Anolis sagrei: one gene and its partner. The protein of the gene in region 2 binds, or shares a complex with, the protein of the main gene of each other region. Links are inferred from orthologs where the notes say so. Each region holds a gene or a part of one and is shown on either strand. Other genes may lie near its edges. The genes, in order: ESR2 and NCOA5.

Evidence for each region.
Region 1: the proteins of NCOA5 (region 2) and ESR2 are in contact, whole or in part, in a crystal structure (PDB 4ZI1), measured with the Homo sapiens proteins. The link is inferred for Anolis sagrei from reciprocal best matches to the Homo sapiens genes NCOA5 and ESR2. Residues at the interface, in NP_066018.1 of Homo sapiens: Ser344, Leu345, Ile346, Leu348, Leu349, Ala350, Asp351; in NP_001428.1 of Homo sapiens: Ile310, Lys314, Phe319, Leu324, Gln327, Val328, Leu331, Glu332, Leu490, Glu493, Met494.

What each region holds. Positions count from the first base shown.
Region 1 is NC_090021.1:330,449,617-330,461,592, reverse strand, and holds the start of ESR2 (estrogen receptor beta), read right to left. Parts: upstream 5,659-11,976; 5' UTR 5,399-5,658; intron 1-5,398.
Region 2 is NC_090024.1:248,049,761-248,062,376, reverse strand, and holds the start of NCOA5 (nuclear receptor coactivator 5), read right to left. Parts: upstream 5,874-12,616; 5' UTR 5,778-5,873; intron 1-5,777. UniProt on the Homo sapiens protein: Nuclear receptor coregulator that can have both coactivator and corepressor functions.

The DNA of each region.
Region 1 (11,976 bases), on a different chromosome or scaffold from region 2:
AACTCTGCCAGCCAGAAACACAGAATCATAGAGTCAGAAGAGACCACACAGGGCATCTAGTTCATCCTCATTCTGTCATGCAGGAAAACACAAGCAAAGCTGTCCTGGAAGATGGCCATCTAGTCTCCTTTTGAAAGCCTCCAAAGAAAGGAATTCAACTACTCCCCAAGACAACATACTCCAACAGTTCTTATCATCAGGAGATTTTTTTTCTAATGTTTAGGTGGAACCTCTTTTTCATTAGTTCCAATCCATTGCTTTGTGAAATGTAATTGAAATGAGAATTCTTATCATTGGTCCGGTCAAGCAAAACACATTGAAATTCAGACATGAAAGGACCCTTCCACACCGCCATTTAACCCAGAATATCGAGGCAGAAAGTCCCACAATATCTGCTTTGACCTGGGTTATCTGAGTCCACACTGCCATCGATTCCAATTCAATGCAAAATATGTGGGATTTTATTCAGCTGAGTAGGAGGGACCAGAGTGTCAAGGGAAGGCTATTTCAGTGTGCCACTCTCTTTAGGAATTATACAGAGGAGTTTGGATCCTGGCTGTGGTGCAGCTAGTTAGTAGCCGATAGGTCATGAGTTCGAAGTGAGCCCGAGTTGGAGTGAGCTCCCAACCATTGATAGTCAAGTTTGCTGTTGACCTATGCAGCCTGAAAGACAGCTGCATCAGTCAAGTAGGAAATTTAGGTACTGCTATATGTGGGGAGACTAATTTAACTAATTTACAACACCATAAAACCTTCCAGCAGTGTTGGTAAAAATGAGGAAGTACTCCATCAAGGACTCGGTGTCAAAAGTGGAAGGTGCAGCAACAGCTCCCCCTGTGGTCTAATCGAGCATACCCTCATGAAGCCAGAAAGCTAGAATGTTAAATTATCTGTCTATATATGTTGTATGTCTAATGGCATTGAATGCTTGCCATGTGTATGTGCATTGTACTCCTCCCTGAGTCCCCTGTGGGGTGAGAAAGGCAGAATATAAATACTGTAAATAAATAAATAAATAAATTTGTTGTTATTATTGTTGCCTTCAAGATGTTTCCAACTTGTGAATGTACAGCCAGGGATTTTTCTGGATCTGTGACTCACTTAAAGTCATACAATGGGTTTCCGTGGTCAAGCAGGGAATCGAACTCTGGTCTCTGGAGTCATAGTCCAACGCTCAATCGATCATACCATGCTGGCTCTTGGATATAGATATAGGTACATGCAAACGGGTTGGAAAAAAGGACCCTCTTTTCCTTTAAATCCTAAAAACATGTATACAATGATCAAGGGATCCAACTGAAGGGAGTAGATTGTGATACACAGAGGAAGCAAGGATCCCCACAATCAGTGGAAACCACCTTTTGTGAGCAAAACAATTATACTAACAGAAGGCAAATTCTAGAGCTAGTCCCATGTGCATGATTCACTTGGAGTGTACTCTTTTGAATAAAATGCAAAAGGACCTTGTAGCATGATCCTGCATCAGATGTAGTGACTGAAGTCTACAAAAGCATCTGCTACCAACTACTGTCTCTCAGTACGCTGCTGTGAGTTTTCCAGGCTGTATGGCTATGTTCCAGAAGCATTCTCTCAGAATACAGAAACAAAAATTACATCAGAGGTAATTACAGTAGCCAGGCATGTAGCCCGGGGGGGGGGGGGGGAGGCTTGGGGGGCTTCACCCCCCCCCCGAAATTCTCATGGTGGTTCGCGAAGAGGCCTTACTGGTGCATTATTTAAACTGTTATGTTTATTCATATCATGATCTGATCACCATACTCAATATATCCCATATGCATGGGGGTATTGGGGTAACGATGCAAAAGGTTTGCTAGGCTAGACCCTGGGCAGGCCAAATGGACAAGATAAAATGATAAAATAATAAAAACCCTGGGTGAGGTAGGAATAAAAATATGTAAGTGAGGGGAGCCCAATACTGATAAGAACAGTGGGGCAAGGCTTTCAGTTTAGGACAGGGGGAAAGTGCATCATAGAGGCGAAGAGAGTGGGACTATGATTTCCCTCAGTCTAGACCAGGCATGGGCAAACTTAATCCCTCCAGGTGTTTTGGACTTCAACTCCCAAAATTCCTAACATCCTCAGGTTCCTTCCTTTTCTGCTCAGCCACTTAAGGGCTGAGGCCGGTTGAATTCCAGACAAGGATCAATCAGGTCCAGCTAACAGCTAACACTTCCCAGCAAAAGATCCCCCAGGCAGCAACCAGCCAGACTTTGAAGCTACAAGGCCATTACACTCTAATCAAGGTGTCCAATTGCAACATTCACACAAGCAGTCAAGAGTTCTTTCTCCCTTCCTGGACATTCCACAGACATACAAACCTCATTTGCCTAGTTTCCAACTTTTTTTTTTAATTGTGTCAGGAGCGACTTGAGAAACTGCAAGTCGCTTCCGGTGTGAGAGAATTGGCCATCTGCAAGGACGTTGCCCAGGGGACGCCCGGATGATTTCATGTTTTTATCATCCTTGTGGTAGGCTTCTCTCATGTCCCCGCATGAGAAGCTGGAGTTGATATAGGGAGCTCATCCGCCTCTCCCCGGATTCAAACCTGCGACCTGTCCTGCCGGCACAGGGGTTTAACCCACTGTGCCACCGGGGGCTCCCTGATCTCACAACCTATGAGGATGCCTGCCATAGATGTGGGAGAAACATCAGGAGATAATGCTTCTGGAACATGGCCAAGCAGCCCAGAAAACTCACAGCAACCCAGTGATTCCAGCCATGAAAGCTTTCGACAACACATTCTTTCTCGCAGTCTCAAAGGTGCCAAAAGATCCCTTTGCATACTTATAATTGTAGTCTCAATTATAAGTATGCAAATGGATCTTTTGGCACCTTTGAGACTGAGAGAAAGAATGTGTTGTCGATATGGCTATGACTCTGAATCCTACTGTCATTGGATAAGGATGAAACAAATGTTTAAATCTCTCATTAACATCAGTGGAATTTAGTGGAAACATTTCTGTGCCCATTCAAATAAAAGCCATTGAGATCAACAAAGTTTTTTCCAGATAACCACATATAGGATTGCTACGCTTAATGCTTAATACTGGATGGCTCATGGACAACTATCCATTACTACAGGTTATCAGTTCGATAGAGAAGCATCAGAAATTAAAAGGGCATGAATAGATGACAACATTCATAATTAAGCAAGTAATTATATTAATCTCTTTTCATGCCATTCCTAAGAAGGGAGACTGTAGACACATACCAAGAAATATCTGTGGCTCATGCTAAAATCTTCAAGATTTCCAAGAAATAAATCCCACAGGATGCAAGGGGGTTTGTTTCCGAGTACATAGTTTGGACTCTCTCCTTCACAGAGCTGACAATAACACAGGACTAAAAAACAACACAAGACATTGACTGCCTCAGTTCCTCGGGGCTTAGGGTGGACCCAGTTTGACTAGCTGCCCAATCTCTCCAGTTTCTCCATCACTTTGGCCAGTGTTTTCAAACACTTCTGCCATTATCACACAATCTTCTCTGGGGGTTGGGACCCCTGGGGGAGGGTTGCAAGTGGGGTGCCAGAGGGGTCACCAAAGACCATCAGAAAACACAATATTTTCTGTTGGTTTCGGGGGGTTCTGTGTGGGAAGTTTGGCCCAATTCTATCATTGGTAGGGTTCAGAATTCTCTTTGATTGTGGGTGAACTATAAATCCCAGCAACTACAACTCCCAAATGTCAAGGTCTATTTCCCCCAAAATCCACCAGTGTTCACATTTGGGCATATTGAGTATTCGTGCCAAGTTTGGTCCAGACCCACCATTGTTTGAGTTCACAGTGCTCTCTGGATTTAGGTGAACTACAACTCCAAAATTCAAGGTCAATGCTCACCAAACCCTTCCAGTATGTTCCGTTGCTCATGGGAGTTCTGTGTGACAAGTTTGGTTCAGTTCAATCATTGGTGGAGTTCAGAATGCTCTTTGATGGTAGGTGAACTATAAATCCCAGCAATGACAACTCCCAAATGCCAAGGTATATTTCCCCAAACTCCACCAATATTCATATTTGGGCATATTGAGTATTTGGCTTCAAACTACAAGAAAGGAGATTCCATCTGAACATGAGGAAGAACTTCCTGACTGCGAGAGCCGTTCAGCAGTGGAACTCTCTGCCCTGGAGTGTGGTGGAGGCTCCTTCTTTGGAAGCTTGTAAACAGAGGCTGGATGGCCATCTGTCAGGGGTGCTTTGAATGCAATATTCCTGCTTCTTGGCAGGGGGTTGGACTGGATGGCCCACGAGGTCTCTTCCAACTCTATGATTCTATGCTAAGTTTGGTCTGGATCCATTATTATTTGAGTCCACAGTGCTCTCTGGATGTAGGTGAACTACAACTCCAAAACTCAAGCTCAATGCCCACCAACCCCTTCCAGTATTTCCTATTGGTCATGGGAGTTCTGTGTGCCAACATTGGTTCAATTCCATCGTTGGTGGAGTTCATTTGATTGTAGGTTAACTATAAATCCCAGCAACTACAACTCCCAAATGACAAAATCAATCCTCCCCAACCCAGTATTCAAATTTGGACATATCAGATATTTGTGCCAAATTTGGTCCAGTGAAGGAAAATACATCCTGCATATCAGATATTTATATTATTATTCATAACAATAGCAAATTTACAGTTATGAAGTAGTAATGAAAATAATGTTATGGTTGAGGGTCACCACAACATGAGGGACTGGATTATCATAGAATCAAAGAGTTGGAAGAGACCTCATGGGCCATCCAGTCTAACCCCCTGCCAAGAAGCAGGAATATTGCATTCAAATCACCCCTGACAGATGGCCATCCAGCCTCTGTTTAAAAGCTTCCAAAGAAGGAGCCTCCACCACATTAGAAAGGTTGAGAACCACTGTCTTACTACTTCATCACACTAGAGAATGAATCCACTTTAAATCCGGTTTCTGCCTCCTGCAGAATTCTGGGGTTTGTAGTTTAGGGAGGACCCTTTAGGAGCCTCACAAAACTACAAACTCCAGAATTCTGCAGGAGGCAGAAACCGGATTTAAAGTGGATTCATTCTCTAGTGTGATGAATTGGTTAGAGGAAAATAAATCACACTCACGCCCAGCAGTCCCAAGAATGGTAGAGTTGGAAAGGACCCCAAGGGTCATCTAGTCCAACCCCTTGTAGACCAGTCAATCAAGAAACAAACTTCTTCTAGGATTCCTTTCCAGCAACTCTCCAGAGAGCAGACTTCCAAAAGCAGAGGAAAGGTCCCTTTCCGCTTTTATATATATATAAAAAAATCAATCCATGTACTATTTGATTCCAAAATGGACCTCCATTCCTCATGATCTCCAAGGGGTCTTTTCCACTCCATTAGAGTGGCCAGTTCATTCACAGACATTTCCACAGCAAGGACTTACCGGAGAGCTTTGGAGTGCGCAGTCGAGGAGGCGCATCAGGATGCCTCCTCAGCTTCTCTTCTTTCGCCTCTTCCTGGCTTTTTCCACCCTCGAAAGGCACTCTGGCTCTGGGGACAAGTCGTGGCTGGTGCCTCCTTAGTGTCTTTCCAAAGCCCTACAGCCTTGGAAGGATCCGCGACCATCACACGCGCGTCCGCAACCCACGCGCGTGTTTTTTCGCCATCCCTCCCAGCCAAGGCAGGAGTTTGCTGTAAGTAAGTTCCTCCTCCTTCTCTTCCTCCTCCTCTTTGCCGTAATAAATTGGAGAAGCTGGCGTGAGTCACTCACTCCCTGGCAGTGCCAGCTCCCATGCCCAAGAGGAGGACTCTCCTCTGGTGACCACAAGCAGGCAGGAAAGGAAGGAAGGAGGGACCAGCCAGCCGCCCAGATAGGTGATCATCCTCATGGCGGGAGAGCACTCCAGGCTCACCTTGGCCACCTCTTCCTTGCCCACTGGGGACTTTCAAGTCTCCTGTCAACTGGTGGCCACCCCAGGAATGTAATCTTATTTTCTCATTTTCTTTTATAAATATGTATTACAGTTTTTCTTTAGAACATAGAGTCAAACAGAAAAAAGAATGAAGGAAATAAAGGGAATTGAAAAATAAATCAAAAAGAAGGAATCATAGAATCATAGAATCAAAGAGTTGGAAGAGACCTCATGGGCCATCCAGTCCAACCCCTTGCCAAGAAGCAGGAATATTGCATTCAAATCACCCCTGACAGATGGCCATCCAGCACCTGTTTAAAAGCTTCCAAAAAAGGAGCCTCCACCATACACCGGGGCAGAGAGTTCCAACTGCTGAATGACTCTCACAGTCAGGAAATTCTTCCTCATGTTCAGATGGAATCTCCTCTCATGTAGTTTGAAGCCATTGCTCCGCGTCCTAGTCTCCAAGGAAGCAGAAAACAAGCTTGCTCCCTCCTCCCTGTGGCTTCCTCTCACATATTTATACATGGCTATCATGTCTCCTCTCAGCCTTCTCTTCTTCAGGCTAAACATGCTTAACTTGTTTAACTTGTTGTCCACGAGGACTCCAAGATCTTTTTCACACGTACTGCTCTCGAGCCAGGCGTCCCCCATTCTGTATCTTTGCATTTCGTTTTTCCTGCCAAAGTGGAGTATCTTGCATTTGTCACTGTTAAACTTCATTTTGTTAGTTTTGGCCCATCTCTCTAATCTGTCAAGATCGTTTTGAATCCTACTCCTGTCCTCTGGAGTATTGGCTATCCCTCCCAATTTGGTGTCGTCTGCAAACTTGATGATCCTGCCTTCTAGCCCTTCATCTAAGTCATTAATAAAGATGTTGAACAGGACCGGGCCCAGGACGGACCCCTGTGGCACTCCACTCGTCACTTCTTTCCAAGATGAAGAGGAAGCGTTAGTGAGCGCTCTCTGGGTTCGTCCATTTAACCAATTACAGATCCAAAGAAGGGGATCACACAATGAAGAAGAAAAGGGGGGGGGGGACACAAGATACATTACATCTGCATTAAAGTAAAATTAAGATACATTTACATGTAAATACAAATTTATTTGTTTATTTATTTACTATATTTATCTACGGCTCTTCTTAGCCCTTAGGCGACTCTGAGCGGTTAGCAATAGCAAAACAGCGCCCCTTACTAGATCTTAAACACCTTCATGTTTCAAAGCCTGTCTGAATACAAAGGTTTTGATGTGTACATAATATCCTACTCCTAACCAACAATGTGTTGCAACTTATATCTCATTTTTCAGATATTTTGGATTTGGAATCAATTGAGTAGTGTGACTGTCTGCATGTCCAACATTCAAATAACTACATCACTTTGTTCTGAGACCATTCAGCCATGGAAACCCATTGATTAACCTCGGGCAAGTCATTCTCTCTCAACCTCAGAGGAATGCAGAGGCAAACTAGCTCTGAACAAACCTTGGCAAGAAAATTCTGTGAGAGGCTTGCCTTTGGGTCGCTGTAAGTTGGCAATGCGTTGGAGGCACACAACAATACTAGCACATATGATCCTGGCAATTGTAGATGTGGATATTGTGCAGGAGGGGGGAGAACTCCCTGTACCTTTTAGTTGTGGTTGTGTCGTTATAATTTCTAACACATTAAAGAAACTAAAATACAGAAAATGGGAACAGTTTGACTTGCTCAGACGAAGAAGGTGGAAGGCTCCAGACGATGATCTTTGGTATTAGAATGGAGGGAGTCCTAAGTACACAAGAGTGCCTGTAATATTTTCCTCAGCACTGACACATATGGTGTTATCTGCTTTCCAACACAGTGTTTGCTGCCCACCCTGTTCTTCTGACACAAATGAAATCACAACTACACACAAGCAGCCCCCAAAATGTTCAGAATCCTAGAGGAGAAACTAAAACATTGTATGAAAAGCGTCTGTACGCCCAGCAAAGGCAGATTGTTTAGTTCCTTTTATTAATTTCTGTACAGGCAGCTGATTATTTTCTTATTTTTCAAGGAAAATATGCGATACTTGCATGTTTGTTCAAACAAATTTACAGATACCTTTCTTCCATTTCTTGTCATTTGACAAAATAACACAATGTGGATGGAATGAGGATATCATAGAATCATAGAGTTAGAAGAGACCCCAAGATTAGCCTCTACTTCAATGTCTATCCAAAGCCAAGGCATTTATTTCAACAGCTTTTGAGAATAGGTTCTTGTGGGTTTTTTCGGGCTATAGGGCCATGTTCTAGAGGCATTTTCTCCTGACGTTTCGCCTGCATCTATGGCACGCATCCTCAGAGGTAGTGAGGTCTGTTGGAATTAGGACAATGGGTTTATATATCTGTGGAATGGCTGGGGTGGGGCAAAGAGCTCTTCTCTGCTGGAGCTAGGTGTGAATGTTTCAACTGACCACCTTCATTAGCATTTGAAGGCCTGGCTGAGCCTGGGAAAATCTTTTGCTGAGAGGTGTTAAGATGTCCCTGCTTGCTTCCTCTCTGTTGTTGTGCTGTTGTAATTTTAGAGCTTTTTAATACTGGTAGCCAGATTTTGTTCATTTTCATGGTCTCTTCCTTTCTGTTGAAATTGTCCACATGCTTGTGGATTTCAATGGCTTCTCTGTGTAGTCTGACATGGTGGTTGTTGGAGTGGTCCAGCATTTCTGTGTTCTCAAATAATATGCTGTGTCCAGGCTGGTTCATCAGGTGCTCTGCTATGGCTGACTTCTCTGGTTGAAGTAGTCTGCAGTGCCTTTCATGTTCCTTGATCCGTGTCTGGTCAATGCTGCGTTTGGTGGTCCCTCTGTAGACTTGTCCACAGCTGCATGGTATACAGTAGACTCCTGCAGAGGTGAGAGGATCCCTCTTGTCTTTTGCTGAACGTAGCATTTGTTGGATTTTCTTGGTGGGTCTGTAAGTGGTTTGCATGTTGTGTTTCCTCATCAGCTTCCCTATGCGGTCAGTGGTTCCCTTGATGTATGGCAGGAACACTTTTCCTCTGGGTGGATCTTCATCTTTACTCTCGTGGCTTGTTCTTGGTCTTGCAGCTCTTCTGATGTCTGCGGTGGAGTATCCATTGGCCTGGAGAGCCCAGCTTTTGAGAATATTTTTTTAAGAAACACCTTTTTGTAGCATTCTGTACAGTCTTCAATTGTGTTATCTTCAAATGTCTTTTCATTAACTTTTAAATAAGTGCTTCCAAGTTTGGTTTTAGTGTTATTCATAGTTTCATTCCAACATGATGTCAGCCTTTTGTAGAAAATCATAGAATTGGAAGAGACCACAAGGGCCATCTAGTTTAACCCCCTACTATGCAGGAGCACACAATCAAAGCACCCCCTACAGATGGCCATTCTTCTCTTTAAAAAAAATCTCCATAGAAGACTCTACTATGTTCCGAAGCAGCATATTCCATAGCCAAAAGGTTCTTATAGTATCATAGAATCAAAGAGTTGGAAGAGACCTCATGGGCCATCCAGTCCAATCCCCTGCCAAGAAGCAGGAATATTGTATTCAAATCACCCCTGACAGATGGCCATCCAGCCCCTGTTTAAAAGCTTCCAAAGAAGGAGCCTCCACCACACTCCGGGGCAGAGAGTTCCACTGCTGAACGGCTCTCACAGTCAGGAAGTTCTTCCTCATGTTCAGATGGAATCTCCTCTCTTGTAGTTTGAAGCCATTGTTCCGCGTCCTAGTCTCCAAGGAAGCAGAAAACAAGCTTGCTCCCTCCTCCCTGTGGCTTCCTCTCACATATTTATACATGGCTATCATATCTCCTCTCAGCCTTCTCTTCTTCAGGCTAAACATGCCCAGCTCCTTAAGCCGCTCCTCATAGGGCTTGTTCTCCAGACCCTTGATCATTTTAGTTGCTCTCCTCTGGACACACTCCAGCTTGTCAATATCTCTCTTGAATTGTGGTGCCCAGAATTGGACACAATATTCCAGGTGTGATCTAACCAGAGCAGAATAGAGGGGTAGCATTACTTCCCTAGATCTAGACACTATGCTCCTATTAATGCAGGCCAAAATCCCATTGGCTTTTTTTGCCACCACATCACATTCTTACTAATGTATAGTTGGACTCTTTTTTCCTGCAGTTTGAAACCATGTCTCCAAAGTAGTCACATATTTAAACATGTCTATCATGTCCTCTCTCAGCGGAAGCTCACCCTGAGAGATATTCAGGGTTTAACCCTATTTAAGATATAAGGTCCTACATTTCAAACAGGGTCTTTGAAACTGGGACTAACATATGCCACTGTCTTACTGACATGAAAGCAACCAGCTGCCACTGAGGCCCATCTCCACTGCCATATATTGCAGTTTCAGAATGCAGTTTAACTACATGAACTAGATTTTATGGCAGTGTTGACTCATATAATCCAGTTCTTAGAATCATAGAATCATAGAAAGGGAGGAGACATGTGCTATCCAGTCCAACTCCCTGCCAAGAAGCAGGAAATTTGCAATCAAATGACCCCCGAAACTGCATTGTGTCGCAGTGCAAATTCAGTCTTAGTCTCAATCTACACTGCCATACAATGCAGTTTGAAAATGCATTCTATGGCCAGTGCAATTCAGTGAAGACTGGCAACCCTATCAGGAAATTTTGAAAAGAAAATCGGAAGCAAGATTGCTGTTACAATTCTTCTTCGCATTGGTGATCACTGGATGGAGAGGGTTCTAAGTCCTGGGAGACATCTACACTCTCAAATTAATGCAGTTTGGTGACAGTTGAACTGCTATGGCTCAATGCTATATAAGCCTGGTGTAGTGATTTCAGCCAGAACCGCGGTTAGCGAGTCTGTGCCCGGAAAGCGTATGCTAAACCAAATAAGCCAGGACAGAGAAACAACTCAGCAGGTTGAAGACAAAATGATGTTACTGAAAAGGGTGTATTTAAAGTCAACCTGCCACATGGCGAACATCAGGACAAAGCTTTTAAAAGGAAAATAAAACACATGTCATATTCCTGAATAAAACTAAATGGTCATAAATGGATGGCTTCTCCCCCTAGGAAAAGGGTGAGAGTACATTAGCAAGAGAGGGAAGACTGGCAGGATATTGTCCATCCTCCACTCTGAATCATGCAGGTTTTTAAATCTGAAGCTTGCAACCAATAAACAGTCTGTCCCCACTGTGACAGTTTTGCAAATGGTAATTATAGAGCAAAAATGATATGCTGGGAATAATAATAATAATTTTTGTCTCTGTGTAAAATAATGCTCCATTTTGTAGAGTCCAGTTTGGAGTGGTTATAGTCTCCCAACTCAGGAAAAAATGTTGGCTTTCCTTTCACTGTACCCTTTCTGCCTTCTTCCATTTCAGTCAGGATTATTGTCAGATTATTTTCTTCAGGAATGTCTTTGCAATTCGCTAGCTGTATTTATTATTGTTGTTGTTGTTATTATTATTATTATTATTATTTATTTATTTATTTTATTTACTTTACTTATATACAGCTGTTCTCAGCCCGAAGGCGACTCACAGCGGTTCACAACAAATAAGAACAGCAAAAATTCAATGCTACAGTGTAAAAACAGTTAACAACCTAACAGTTAACAACCTATTATTATTATTATTATTATTATTATTATTATTTGTAATACTGCATTCATAACATTACAGATCTGGGCCCAAAAAGTGTGGTTCTTTTTGTTCAAACTCCTTAATTATTTTGAGTAATGAAGGGATTGTGTGCCACGTGTGATCCAGATCCAACAAGCCATGGAGGAACCTTTGTGGTACAAACAGACAAGCCAACATACATACAAACTTTGACATTATATATAGATATAAGTATAGATATATAGATATAACGCAGCCTGCATATGTTTGTTCTTGCAAAACTCAAAAAGTAGTCGGTCGATTGACTTAACATTTTGACACAACTTTGCATTCCAAGCCCCCATGACCCACTTTACCTCCTGGTGCGGTTTGGGGGAGGATGGACCACGGATTTTGTATTTTACAGTAATAGCAGACAGAGCGGCTTTGGTGCAAAGGGCAGATTCTCATGAGAATGTTTCTGTCAGGCCTTGGGAGAAAGGTTTACTCCCTCTGCCTGTGAGCTCGCCAGATT
Region 2 (12,616 bases):
GATCTAGGGACACAAAGTGCCATCTACTTATCTCTTTCACAGCTCGTTCAAGGGCCACTTCTATCAGACGAATATGGTACAAAATTTTCTTGGGAAAAGAATAGCATTAAGGATATGTTCAATCTTTCCTTAACAAATCTAGCTGACTCTTCAAGAAATCTTTAAATACTCCCATTGTTCTAAGTTTCCGGCACAGGACATCTTGAGCTAAAGACCCACAAGATGCCTTTTCTTCAGAAAATAAGCCGGAGTGTCTATACGGGATTGAAAATGACGACAGCAACAAAGCTCTGTTTGTACGTTAAAATAATGAGAGGGAATATGGCTGCTATTTAAGGCAACCGTCTAAAACAAAACTTACAAGTCGTAAAAATACCTGAGAGAAAAGACACAGCAAAACAGCTACCAGGAGACATAGCTTTCAAAAAAGAAACACCTGTCAAGATTAATATCCAAAATTTAATTTTATTGAGCAGCACACCATAGAGCCTCTTCATTGGGAAAAAGAAACTACCATGCACACCCAGCCACGGCTTTTCTCCCTTTCCCATCTTGACTACTGAAGACTAGCCCAGTGACTGACTGGGGAACAGCCAGTTTGCCAAGGGAGCGTATTGTCCACATTGTGCAAAGAGCACCACATTCTATTCTGAAAGATACTAGGGAAGTATCCTGGGTAATGTATCCTTGAAAGAAGGTGTTGCTGTGATGGCACAGCTTCCAGATAAAGAGAGCTGGGATTAACCCACCGTGACAATCCACAAGTGGCAAAGACAAGAGCCCAGGCTGAAGGCAGAAGTCTATAAGGAAAGAAACGCTCCTTCCACCAGTATAAGCTTTCGCAAATGCAGCATAACAGGCAAATATGGAACTATGGAACGACTTGACGATGCGACTGGAAAACGAGTTTGGTGAGGAGACGCTGATTTTTTTTTATATTATATGCTAAATGGTTTTAACTGTATTTTTATGTCTGCATTGAATTGTTGCCGACTGTAAACCGCCTTGAATCGCCTTCAGGCTGAGAAAGGCGGTATACAAATACCGTAAATAAATAAATAGAATGGGAAGATTGGGAAAGAAGTGCAAAAACAGTTTCTGATATGGTTTATTTCACAGCATGATCAATAACATAATGGTACAAGCAACCAATGTTTTTAACAGTTTTACGTTATTTATATTTTTATTTGTTTTATGTATACGATGTTTTGGGTTTCATTTGATTGTGTATGCGGCATTGAACACTGCCATGTTGTATGCTGCTCTGAGATTCCCTTGGGGTGAGAGAGAGCCGGATATAAATACAGCAAATAAATAAATAAATAAATAAATAAAGTAGTTAAATCCGTGTGATAAAATAGTTAAATAGTGTGATAAATACTTAAATCCATGTGAAGAGCCTATAAGCAGAGTAGACCTGTTCTACTGGCCAAAGGCAACATCTATATTCTGCAAACCCATCTAATGTCACTGTCTAATGTAGTCGTACTTTATGGTGCACTACAAAGACCTACAGTGTTCACTGAGAACATTAAGGGAGGCTCAGGGTGCAAGAATTCTGCTGCACAGACACCACTGGGATTTTACTCTCTACAACAGTGGTTCTCAACCTGGGGTCCCCAGATGTTTTTGGTCTTCAATTCCCAGAAATCCTAACAGCTGGTAAACTGGCAAGGATTTCTGGGAGTTGTAGGCCAAAAACATCTGGGGACCCCAGGTTGAGAACCACTGCTCTACAACCATGTTTTAGTGTTTCCTGCATGACAACACAAACCTTGATATCATTTATTTATAGCATGTATTGATCCAAGTTTTCCAAAGCATACAAAGTCAAACAAAATATAATTTCTCTTTCAAAACAGCTGAACAGCAAATTTAAAATCCAACCGCCTTTAATCTGCTACAATATCAGTGGCTTCCATTTCCAGTTTATCTATCCAAACCACAGCCCTAGACCTTTCTGCCTCCTGCCTAACAGCACTCTCTGGAAAAGGCTACTCTCTGTGGCACCCAGTCTTTGCTAAATCCCACCTCCACAGTGGAGGAGTGAGACCAAGGAACTATCAGAGAAGAATATGAGCTTATCTCTCTCCAAACTCTTTCAAGGCTAAGCTTGGGAAGAGAGCTGGCCCTTGAAAATATGGGAAGGGATCCTGGGTCACCAGGCATAATCCCAGTGAAGCCATTTTGAGGCTATGCTGACCATATCTCCTTGGGGGGGGGGGGGGGAGAGGAAGGGACAGGGCCTACATTACTAATTGCAGCAATAATATGTTTCATGCTTATGTCTATGTTTGATGTTTTTATAGTTTAGTTTTTTATCTGCAGTTATGTTATTGATTTAGATATGTGATATTTTAATATAAATGTGAATTTGCCATTTATTATGTTTTAAACCGCTTTGAGTCCCCCCCCAGGGGTGAGAAAAGCGGTAAACAAATGTTGTTAATAATAATAATAAATAAATAATTCTGCAAAAAAAAAAGAGGTTCAGATGTGCCTTAGGACTTGGCCCAGAAAAGGATGGAACTTTTGCCCTTGGCATGCTCATAGAGGGTGGAGCCTTCTGCCTCTGCATTGAGGGTCCCTGCTTTGTTGGAACCAAAAAATCATTTGTTATGAACGAATGCAACGCTCGTAGCATCTTACCCAGTCCTACCATGCCCCCCCCCCCCTTTATGGGCAGCACCACTATCAGCATCAAGGTCAGCCAACCTGCCTCATCAGCTTCTCTGGAAAAAGGAATTCAAAGTAGGTCACATCATAGGTGCATGTATGGATGTGTATTACTACTACTGCTATTTCTTAACTGCCTGTCTACACAGATAACGTGGGGAATAACACTGCATTAAACTACCTTACATACCACCAGTTAAAAATATGGATAACATGAACATAAGAGCGTGCAAGATCAATATATAGGCAAACAATTGATCCATAGTTTAAATTCATTATCTAAATTCATCCTTTAAATACCATCTGTTGGAAGAGACAATCTTTCTTGCTATTTTAAATTCAGGCAGTGCATCCAGCTGAGTGGAGTAACCATCTCCCTGAGGTGGATTATATGGGAGGAGGGGATACTGGGCTCAGACCATGCAGGTCTTCAAAGGTAAGAATCAAGAGTTCTCTGTACTTTGTTCAGAAACGTAACTGGCAACCAGTTTAATATAATTGTAATATCACCACTCCAAGATGTAATAATGACCAATCTGACTAAAATAAAATATAGCTAAAAACAATTGTAAATATGAACATGTAAAGCAATATAAACAACCTTCAACAGGATCCTGTTGGTGGACAATGTTCTCTTTGAAGCAAATCCTCAGGTGAAGGAACCCGCTTTCCCAACACAAGACAAATGGTGGATAAATATCTGTGATATCCCCAAAATGGAGAGTCCGACTATGCTGATTATGGAGAATTTTTTGCTCAAATATTGGGACTTGCTCATTTTCATAATAATGATGGGAGGAAATGCCAACTATAGGATTAATGAATTTCTACCAGAAGTAGAAATGTAATTATATATTAGCATCTAAAGAGAAATTTATTTTTATTTAACTTGTCAAAAGCAAATTGAGAATACAGTTACAATGTATAGAAAAACCTCAAAGTTAAAACATGGCATAGGGAATAGAATAATAAGGGATAAAAATAATCAGATTGTGAGGAGGAGTTTTATAAAATTATTTCCTTGGCTGTCTGTTTGTTAGCGGAGTTTGTGCAAGTCTACCTGAATAAAATCTTTTTATTCAGGCAGGCTTTTAAACAAGCCAGGGAGTGCTATGGGTTTTAGCTTTGAACATGTTTTTATTCATTTTTTAAGGATTTTGACTATTTTTAGCACAATTAATATTTAATACTATTTCAATGTTTTTATATTTTTATGTTTTAAATTGTATTGCATTTAGTTTTATTGTAAGCTGCTTTGAGTCTCTTTTGTAGCGAGAAAGCGGGGTATTAATAAACATAATAAGATTAATAATAGGTGTGTTTTGTCTGTTTTAGTTTTGTAGTTTGTTGTAGTAGCTAACAATAATTTTATTCCTTACCCATCTCTCCTCATTGTATATACAATATATTACTTATCATTACTATATTATTATACAATAAATATATTACATAAATATATTATGTTTTTATATAATTATAATTGTAATAGATTACACGGTGTGACACTGTGATTTTTGTTCCTGGGTGATAAATGTCACTATTTCCTGGTCCATGAGGTCACGAAGAGTCGGAGATGACTGAACGAATGAACAACAAAACTATTATTATTATTCAGTTCTTGTGGGTTTTTTCGGGCTATATGGCCATGTTCTAGAGGCATTTCTCCTGACGTTTCGCCTGCATCTATGGCAAGCATCCTCAGAGGTCTGATTATTATTATTATTATTATTAGAGTCTGAATTTACTTCAACCCAGTTTGTGGCAGCCACAAAATCAACCAAGTTCCTGGAGTAGAGCAACTATTTTCAAAGCAAGGTCCGCACCATGAAACAGGAAATCACACTTTCAAACCAGGGACAGAACATTTTTCAAATTTTGACATAATAGTGTTTACTAGCTGTCCCCTGCCAGGCGTTGCTGTGGCCCAGTCTGTTGATCTGGGAAATAAAATAATGTGAAAGTGTTTGTTTCCAATATATGTAATTTCTTTCTGCTTGTGGGTAAACAGTATTTCTTGCTGTTTCTTTGTCAGTGTTGATGTGGAGAGTGTCTGGTTTGCCTACTCTGGAACATGCAACATATAATTGTACTTCTTTAGAGGTCCCTTTGAAATCTATGATACTGCATCTGTCACATACATATATGTGTGTGTCTGTGAATCATATATTTCTATCTATATCTATGGCTGGATGGCTCTTTGTCAGGAGGGCTTTGATTACGTTTTCTTGCCCCGATGAAGGGAGTTGGATTGGGTGGCCTTAAGTATTTTCTGATCGTCATAAGGGTTCTGTGTGGGAAGTCTGCCCCGATTCTGTCATTCGTGGGGTTCTGAATGCTCTTTGATTGTAGGTGAACTGTGAATCTCAGTAACTACAACTCCCAAATGTCAGGGTCTATTTCCCCCAAACTCCATCTGTGTTCATATTTGGGTGCGTTGAGTATTCATGTCCAGATCCATCATTGTTTGAGTCCACAGTGCTCTCTGGATATAGGTGAACTACAACTCCCAAACTCAAGGTCAATGCCCACTAAATCCTTTCAGTATTTTCTGTTGCTCATGGGGGTTCTGTGTGGGAAGTTTGCCCCAATTCTGTCATTGGTGGAGTTCAGAATGCTCTTTGATTGTGGGTGAACTATAAATCCCAGCAACTACAACTCCCAAATGATAAACTCATAATGTTTTGAGTGATGGTCACTCCTTGTGTAGTGAGACGTTTTGTTGCCAAATTTGGTGTGATTTCGTTCATTGGTTCTTTTGTTTTTAAGGCACTCATTATGCACAGAGCATTTATATATAGATAGATATAGGGAAGTGCGTCATCAGGAGGGGACGCGGGTGCCTTCCTTGTCGCGCCAACCACTGCGCAGGCGCAGAAAGGAACCGAGCCCAGCCCTTGCCGCTCCGCCGCCGACGCGCATGCGCAACATGGCCGTCCGCTCTCGCGCATGCGCACAGCTCGGCGTGTGTGGGGGAGGGGTAGGAGGAGTTGCGCGCGCACTCTCGCCTCAGAAAGAGAATTCGCCCGGCCCGGCCAAGTAACCGACGGGGAAAGCCCCTTTGCCCCGGCCTCCCGCTTTCCCCTCCGCGGCCCTGCACTCACCGAGGAGGCCTGCGCGGGTCTCTCACCAGCGACGAAGACAAAAGGGCGCCCAACGGAAACCACGGCTTCGCTCGCTCTCGTTCTGTCTCAAAGCGCAGGCGCCCACGCCGAGCGGTGATTGGCTGCTCGCGGAGGGGCGTGGCTCCGCCGCTTCTCCAATCGGAATTCCGGCCTCTGCAAGCTCCGGCCAATCACCAGTCGGGGGCGTGGCTAGCGGGATGCCATCTAGTTCAACCCCCTTCTGACTTCCTGCAGGAAAAGCATAATCAAAGCACCCCTGCCAGATGGCCATCCAGCCTCCGCTTTAGTATTATTACTATTATTATTATTATTATTGGTACTACTCTTTATTATTATAGATAGATAATAAGAGTTGGGGGAGACCTCTAAAGGCCATCTAGTCCAACCCCCTTCTACCTTCCTGCAGGAAAAGTACAATCAAAGAACCCCTGCCAGATGGCCATCCAGCCTCCGCTTTAGTATTATTACTATTATTATTGCTACTACTCTTTATTATTATAGATAGATAATAAGAGTTGGGAGGGACCTCCAAAGGCCATCTAGTCCAACCCCCTTCTGCCTTCCTGCAGGAAAAGCACAATCAAAGCACCCCTGGCAGATGGCCATCCAGCCTCTGCGTTATTATTATTATTATTATTATTATCATTATTATTATTATTATTATTAATATTATTATTATTGCTACTACTCTTTATTATTATAGATAGATAATAAGAGTTGGGAGGGACCTCTAAAGGCCATCTAGTCCAACCCCCTTCTGCCTTCCTGCAGGAAAAGCACAATCAAAGCACCCCTGCCAGATGGCCATCCAGCCTCCGCTTTATTACATTATTATTATTATTATTATTATTATTATTATTGGTACTACTCTTTATTATTATAGATAGATAATAAGAGTTGGGGGAGACCTCTAAAGGCCATCTAGTCCAACCCCCTTCTACCTTCCTGCAGGAAAAGTACAATCAAAGAACCCCTGGCAGATGGCCATCCAGCCTCCGCTTTAGTATTATTATTATTATTGGTACTACTCTTTATTACTATGGATAGATAATAAGAGTTGGGAGGGACCTCTAAAGGCCATCTAGTCCAACCCCCTTCTGCCTTCCTGCAGGAAAAGCACAACCAAAGCACCCCTGCCAGATGGCCATCCAGCCTCCGCTTTATTACTATTATTATTATCAGTATTATTATTGCTACTACTCTTTATTATTATAGATAGATAATAAGAATTGGGAGGGACCACTAAAGGCCATCTAGTCCAACCCCCTTCTGCCTTCCTGCAGGAAAAGCACCATCAAAGCACCCCTGCCAGATGGCCATCCAGCCTTCGCTTTATTATTATTATTATTATTATTATTATTATTGACACCATTTTCTAAGCCAGTCATTGACCTGTACTATTTTTCTGGCCCTTGTAGGACCGTGTTTTACGACTGGGAGGAGGGATGAAAAGACCACCTGTACATTACATTGTTTTAGCTTTGTTCCGAGAGCTCGAAAATCATTTGTGATCTTTCAAAAAGTATGCCTAGCAGTATCATTGGTTCCTACATGAACCAATGATAATTCAGATAATTCTCCCAAAGGTGCCTCCTTCCTTCCAGTGGAAAGTCCCCTGCTCACCATGAGTTGCAGCTGGTTGATGTCTCAATCTTGCTCCCTTTCCCCAAACACTGCAAGCTATCTATCTATCTATCTATCTATTTATCTATGGCTGGATGGGTCTTTGTCAGGAGGGCTTTGATTATGTTTTCTTGCCCTGGTGAAGGGAGTTGGACTGAATGGCCTTAAGTATTTTCTGTTGGTCATGGGGGTTCTGTGTGGGAAGTTCGGCCCAATTCTGTCGTTGGTGGAGTCCAGAACACCCTTTGATTATAGGTGAACTATAAATCCCAGTAGCTACAACTCCCAAATGTCAAGGTCTATTTCTCCCAAACTCAATCTATGTTCATATTTGGGCATATGGGATATTCATGCCAAGTTTTGGTCTAGATCCATCATTGTTTGAGTCCATAGTCTTCTCTGGATGTAGGGGAACTACAACTCCCACACTCAAGGTCAATGCCTACTAAACCCTAGAATTCCCTCTGGAACTGCCCTGGCATGACCTGCGGGCCTTGCCCTTCTCCAGTTCTTGGATGGGAAGCCTTCTTCCTTGTGTCATTCCCCGTGGATCCTGTTGGCATCCGTTGGTTGGCTCATCCGTGTTTCCAGCCACAAAGGTCACTTCACAAGGCAGGCTTTGTGCTTTGTTCCCTGCTGAGCGCCAGGAGTTCGGTTGCCCAGTTTCTCTTGGAAGGGGATATAAAGGCAGGAGGTGGCAGAGCTGGAGCTTCACTGGTCTTGCCTCACCATGAAGTCCTCAACCGGCTTCATCATCATCATCCTCCTCGCTCTCCTGGCCTCCTCTGCCGTGACGCCCGCTCCCCCTGGGCAAGGTGAGTAGTCCAACTGCATCAATAGGAGGATAGTGTCTAGATCTAAGGAAGTAATGCTCTCCATGCTCTATTCTGCTTTGGTTAGACCACATCTGGAATATTGTGTCCAATTCTGGGCACCACACTTCAAGAGAGATATTGACTCTAAGCTGGAATGTGTCCAGAGGAGGGAGACTCAAATGATCAAGGATCTGGAGAACAAGCCCTATGAGGAGCGGCTTAAGGAGCTGGGCATGTTTAGCCTGAGGAAAAGAAGGCTGAGAGGAGATATGATGAGGGCCATGTATAAATATGTGAGAGGAAGCCACAGGGAGGAGGGAGCAAGCTTCTTTTCTGCTTCCTTGGAGACTAGGACGCAATGGAACAATGGCTTCAAACTACAAGAGAGGAGATTCCACCTGAACATGAGGAAGAACTTCCTGACTGGGAGAGCCGTTCAGCAGTGGAACTCTCTGCCCCAGAGGGAGTGTGGTGGAGGCTCCTTCTTTGGAAGCTTTTAAGCAGAGGCTGGATGGCCATCTGTCAGGGGTGATTTGAATGCAATATTCCTGCTTCTTGGCAGAATGGGGTTGGACTGGATGGCCCATGAGGTCTCTTCCAACTCTTGGATTCTATGATTCCCTGGGAATCCCCTTGAAGGCACCTCTGATCTCATTCTAGATTATTATTTATTATAATTAAACTTTATTTGTACCCCACTAGCATCTCCCGGAGGATTCGATGCGGCTTACAACAGGCCGAGGCCGCAACAATACAACATAACAATATAAACACGCAAATCAAGCAAGTAAAACAAAGCAAAAATAAACAACAAGCAAAATACATTAAAACACAGTAAAACTGGGCCGGGCCAAAAGGTGGGTACAAGCGTTAAAAGTGCTGATGTGACAGGAGGTGTATAAAGGGCTTCTAGGGCAAGTGCGATGTGCAATGTGCATCAATCAGTTCTGGTAAAGTGCTTGTAGGACTCGGTAGTGGAGATTTCCTAATCTGGGAAGGCGCATCGGAAAAGCCAAGTTTTTAAGTTCTTTCTGAAGATAGCCAATGAGGGGGCCTGTCTAAGGTCTTTGGGGAGGGTGTTCCAGAGTTGGGGGGCCACTACGGAAAAGGCCCTGCCCCGCGTCCCCACCAAACGCGCTTGCGACGCAGGTGGGATCACGAGCAGGGCCTCTCCAGATGACCGAAGAGAACGCGTGGGTTCGTAGATGGAGATGCGGTCACGCAGGTAGGCTGGTCCCAAACCGTTCAGGGCTTTGTAGGTAAGCACCTGCACCTTGAATTGGGCTCGGAATATGAACGGCAGCCAGTGGAGTTCCTTAAACAGGAGGGTTGACCTCTCTCTGTAAGGGGCCCCCATTAGCATCCTGGCTGCCGATCATTGGACCAGTTGGAGCTTCTGAGCCGTCTTCAAGGGCAGCCCCACGTAGAGCGCATTGCAGTAATCCAATCTGGATCTCGCTTCTCATACATGCACGCTCTGGGCCAGCTTCCTTCCTCTGACCCTCCAGGTCCCTCAAGGCCTAGAGACCAGACCAGACCAGAGCATGGCAGAACGGGCCAGATTGTGGAGGTCAAGAGGCCCCACTGACCATCATCCCTGCTGTTTCCTCCTCAGGAGTGGTTGCTCCTCTGCTTCCCACCCACTGACACCACACAATTGCTCGCATCCCAGCTGGCAGTTGCGGTCCTTTGTTATCTCAGAAAATCCCTCCAACTTGAAGACAGAAGGATCTTACTTTAAAAGTGGAGAACAGGGCACTACGGTCTGGCCTTGTCAGAACCAGGTGCCAGTGATATCGAGCTGCTTTTTGTAGGGTCTCCCGGCGGAGGAGATCCCTGAGGACCGCTCAAAAGGGCCCTGGACCTTTGGTGAGGCTAGCGAGAGCCAATCCAAAGAGTAAAAAATATTACAAATAATAATGCCTCATCCAAGTGGAAGAAGTTTTTCAGCAACCGAGGTTTATTTGTGATTCAGCTGAGATAAGATGCATTGCAGGAATCATTCCACTGCAAGCATAATTTTCAAGCATTTTTATAGTACACAGACAAAGGAAAACAGTTTCAAAACTCCCGCCCACCCTCTGTCAGCCGGCTTCGTGCTGATTGGCTGGCCACGGAACAGCTGGGAGGAGGCTTGGCAGCACGCCTCGCCTCCGGACCAATCAGCGGGCTCCGCTGCCTCTGGGAGGCCAATCAGTGCCTTCCTAGCGCCTCTGAAGATGGACCAATCGGCAGCTAGGAGGCGGGACGAAGCCAACAATGGCTGAGGAAATGATCAGCTTAGGGGCATCCGCCAGCTGGAATGTGTGGCTTTGTCCTCACTTGGCGGGGTGTCAGATAGAGGAACAATGAGTTTCCTGGTCTGTTGATGGGATTTGGGAAGAAATATGAAAAGGCTTTTTCGGTATCGGACCTCAAAGGGGGATCAACAATACCTGGTTGATTAAATCAGTCTTTGTTTCCGAGTTCCTGCTGACCCCCTCCCCTCGCTGGTCTGCTCTGAGGGCCAGGGTTGGGGGGAAACAACAGTATGGTCCATGCAAATGAAACAATCGGGAAGAGTTTTGGGAGGACAAAGGAGTTCCTCTTCAAGACAGTAATCCCCAGGTCACATCTTTATGGGGCAAGGGTCAAAGGGAAAGGCGGGAAGGGGAAACACAGCACATTCTATATGATATTTCATTACATACATTTCATATATTTCATAAGGCAATCCCATCCCCATCCCCAGCAAAGTTTATTAAAACAGCTCGTTTTTCTATTATTTGAAATAAATTCATGGTCTCCTGGTGAAGGCACACGGAAACGGAGGCTGCTTGCTCTTCAGGGCAAGCCTGATCTGAAGGTTTGTGTCCAAAGATATGGCAGAAAACAGTCCGGGACGTGGAGCAGAAAGTCAATAGGAGAGGGCAAAAAGAGTCCAAGGAGGATTTCCGGGTTGCAATGGTGGGGCAGTGTCCTTGTCTGTCCTTTGGAAAACTATGTCTCCCAGGTCAGAGACCGGGACCCGTGCCTGGCTGCCTTCCCGGGGTCTCCTGCGGGTGGCCGCAGTGGGTCCCCGGTTGCTGGATCCAGGCAGGGAGCGAGCAGCGCTGAGGAGAAACGGGCTGTCTTGGAAGAACCCGGCCAAATTGACAAACAGCTGATTTCTGTCAAAGTAAAATACTTTAAACAAAATGATTATTCCCCGAGCGCAGGAGTCCAAAATGAGGAAAACATGATGGCAGTTAGTCTTAGAATTAAGAGCAGAAAAATACAAAATTTGAACGGCGTCAATCCGCCATTTTACTGTTTTAGTGGGTACTGGGGTCCAAAATGGCGGTTTCCGTATCCGCGATTCTTCCGAACGCAGATCCAGGGTCCAGGGGGGGGCAGTGGGCGCCCCCCAGCAGGCTCACGGCTCTTCAGAGCCTGGAAAAAGGGTTATTTTAATGTTGAATTAGTCTGAGGCAGGAAAAGATACAAAAGTATCAAGCGGAAAGATTAAATGTTGCAAGTTTCAAGTGCTTTATTAGGGAAATGATACAATGTAAGGAGAAGGGGAAAGCAAAAGAAAGCTGCAGGCATTCCTGGTTTTGAGCTGGCTGCTGGGGCACATTTCATCTGTTGGTCCCCAAAACTTGGTCCAGGAACTGCGGAACTCTCCGCTGCAGCTCACACCAATGTGAAGGCGGGGCTCCCTGCCGTGCTCGGGCTCACCAGTAGAAGAACACAACACGCATGCGCTTTGCATTAAAACTGGGTTGTTGTAGGTTTCTCAGACTGTATGGCCATGTTCTAGAACAGTGGTTCTCAACCCGGGGGTCACGACCCCCAGAAGGGTCGATTGGCTGTTTCCAAGGGGTCATGACGCCACCTCCTTTGGCCCCACCCCCTCAGCCTCCCTGCAATGGCTGCCCGGACAGAGACACCAGCAAGACCTGCCTTTGTCCCTCTCCCTCCCTCTAGAACAGTGGTTCTCAACCTTCCTAATGCCGTGACCCCTAAATCCAGTTCCTTGTGTTGTGGTGACCCCCAACCATATTTCCATCGCTACTTCATAACTGATACTATTATGAATCATAATGGAAATATCTGATATGCAGGATGTATTTTCATTACAAATTGGAACATAATTAATGCAAAATTAATTAATGTTTGGAGGAGTGTGGACAATGGATGATGGGATCTGCAGTACCTTCAACTGACTCAGCTCTGACTTCCACAGACCACTGAGACCCCCACAAATAACATACATGGGCCAAACCCGACACACGGAACCCCCATTACCAAAAGAAAATACTGGAGGGGGTTGTGAGGAATTGACAGGGATTGATGAGAGACGTAGAACATGGCCAACATAAGATACTGGAAGGGTTTGGTGGGCATTGATCTTGAGTT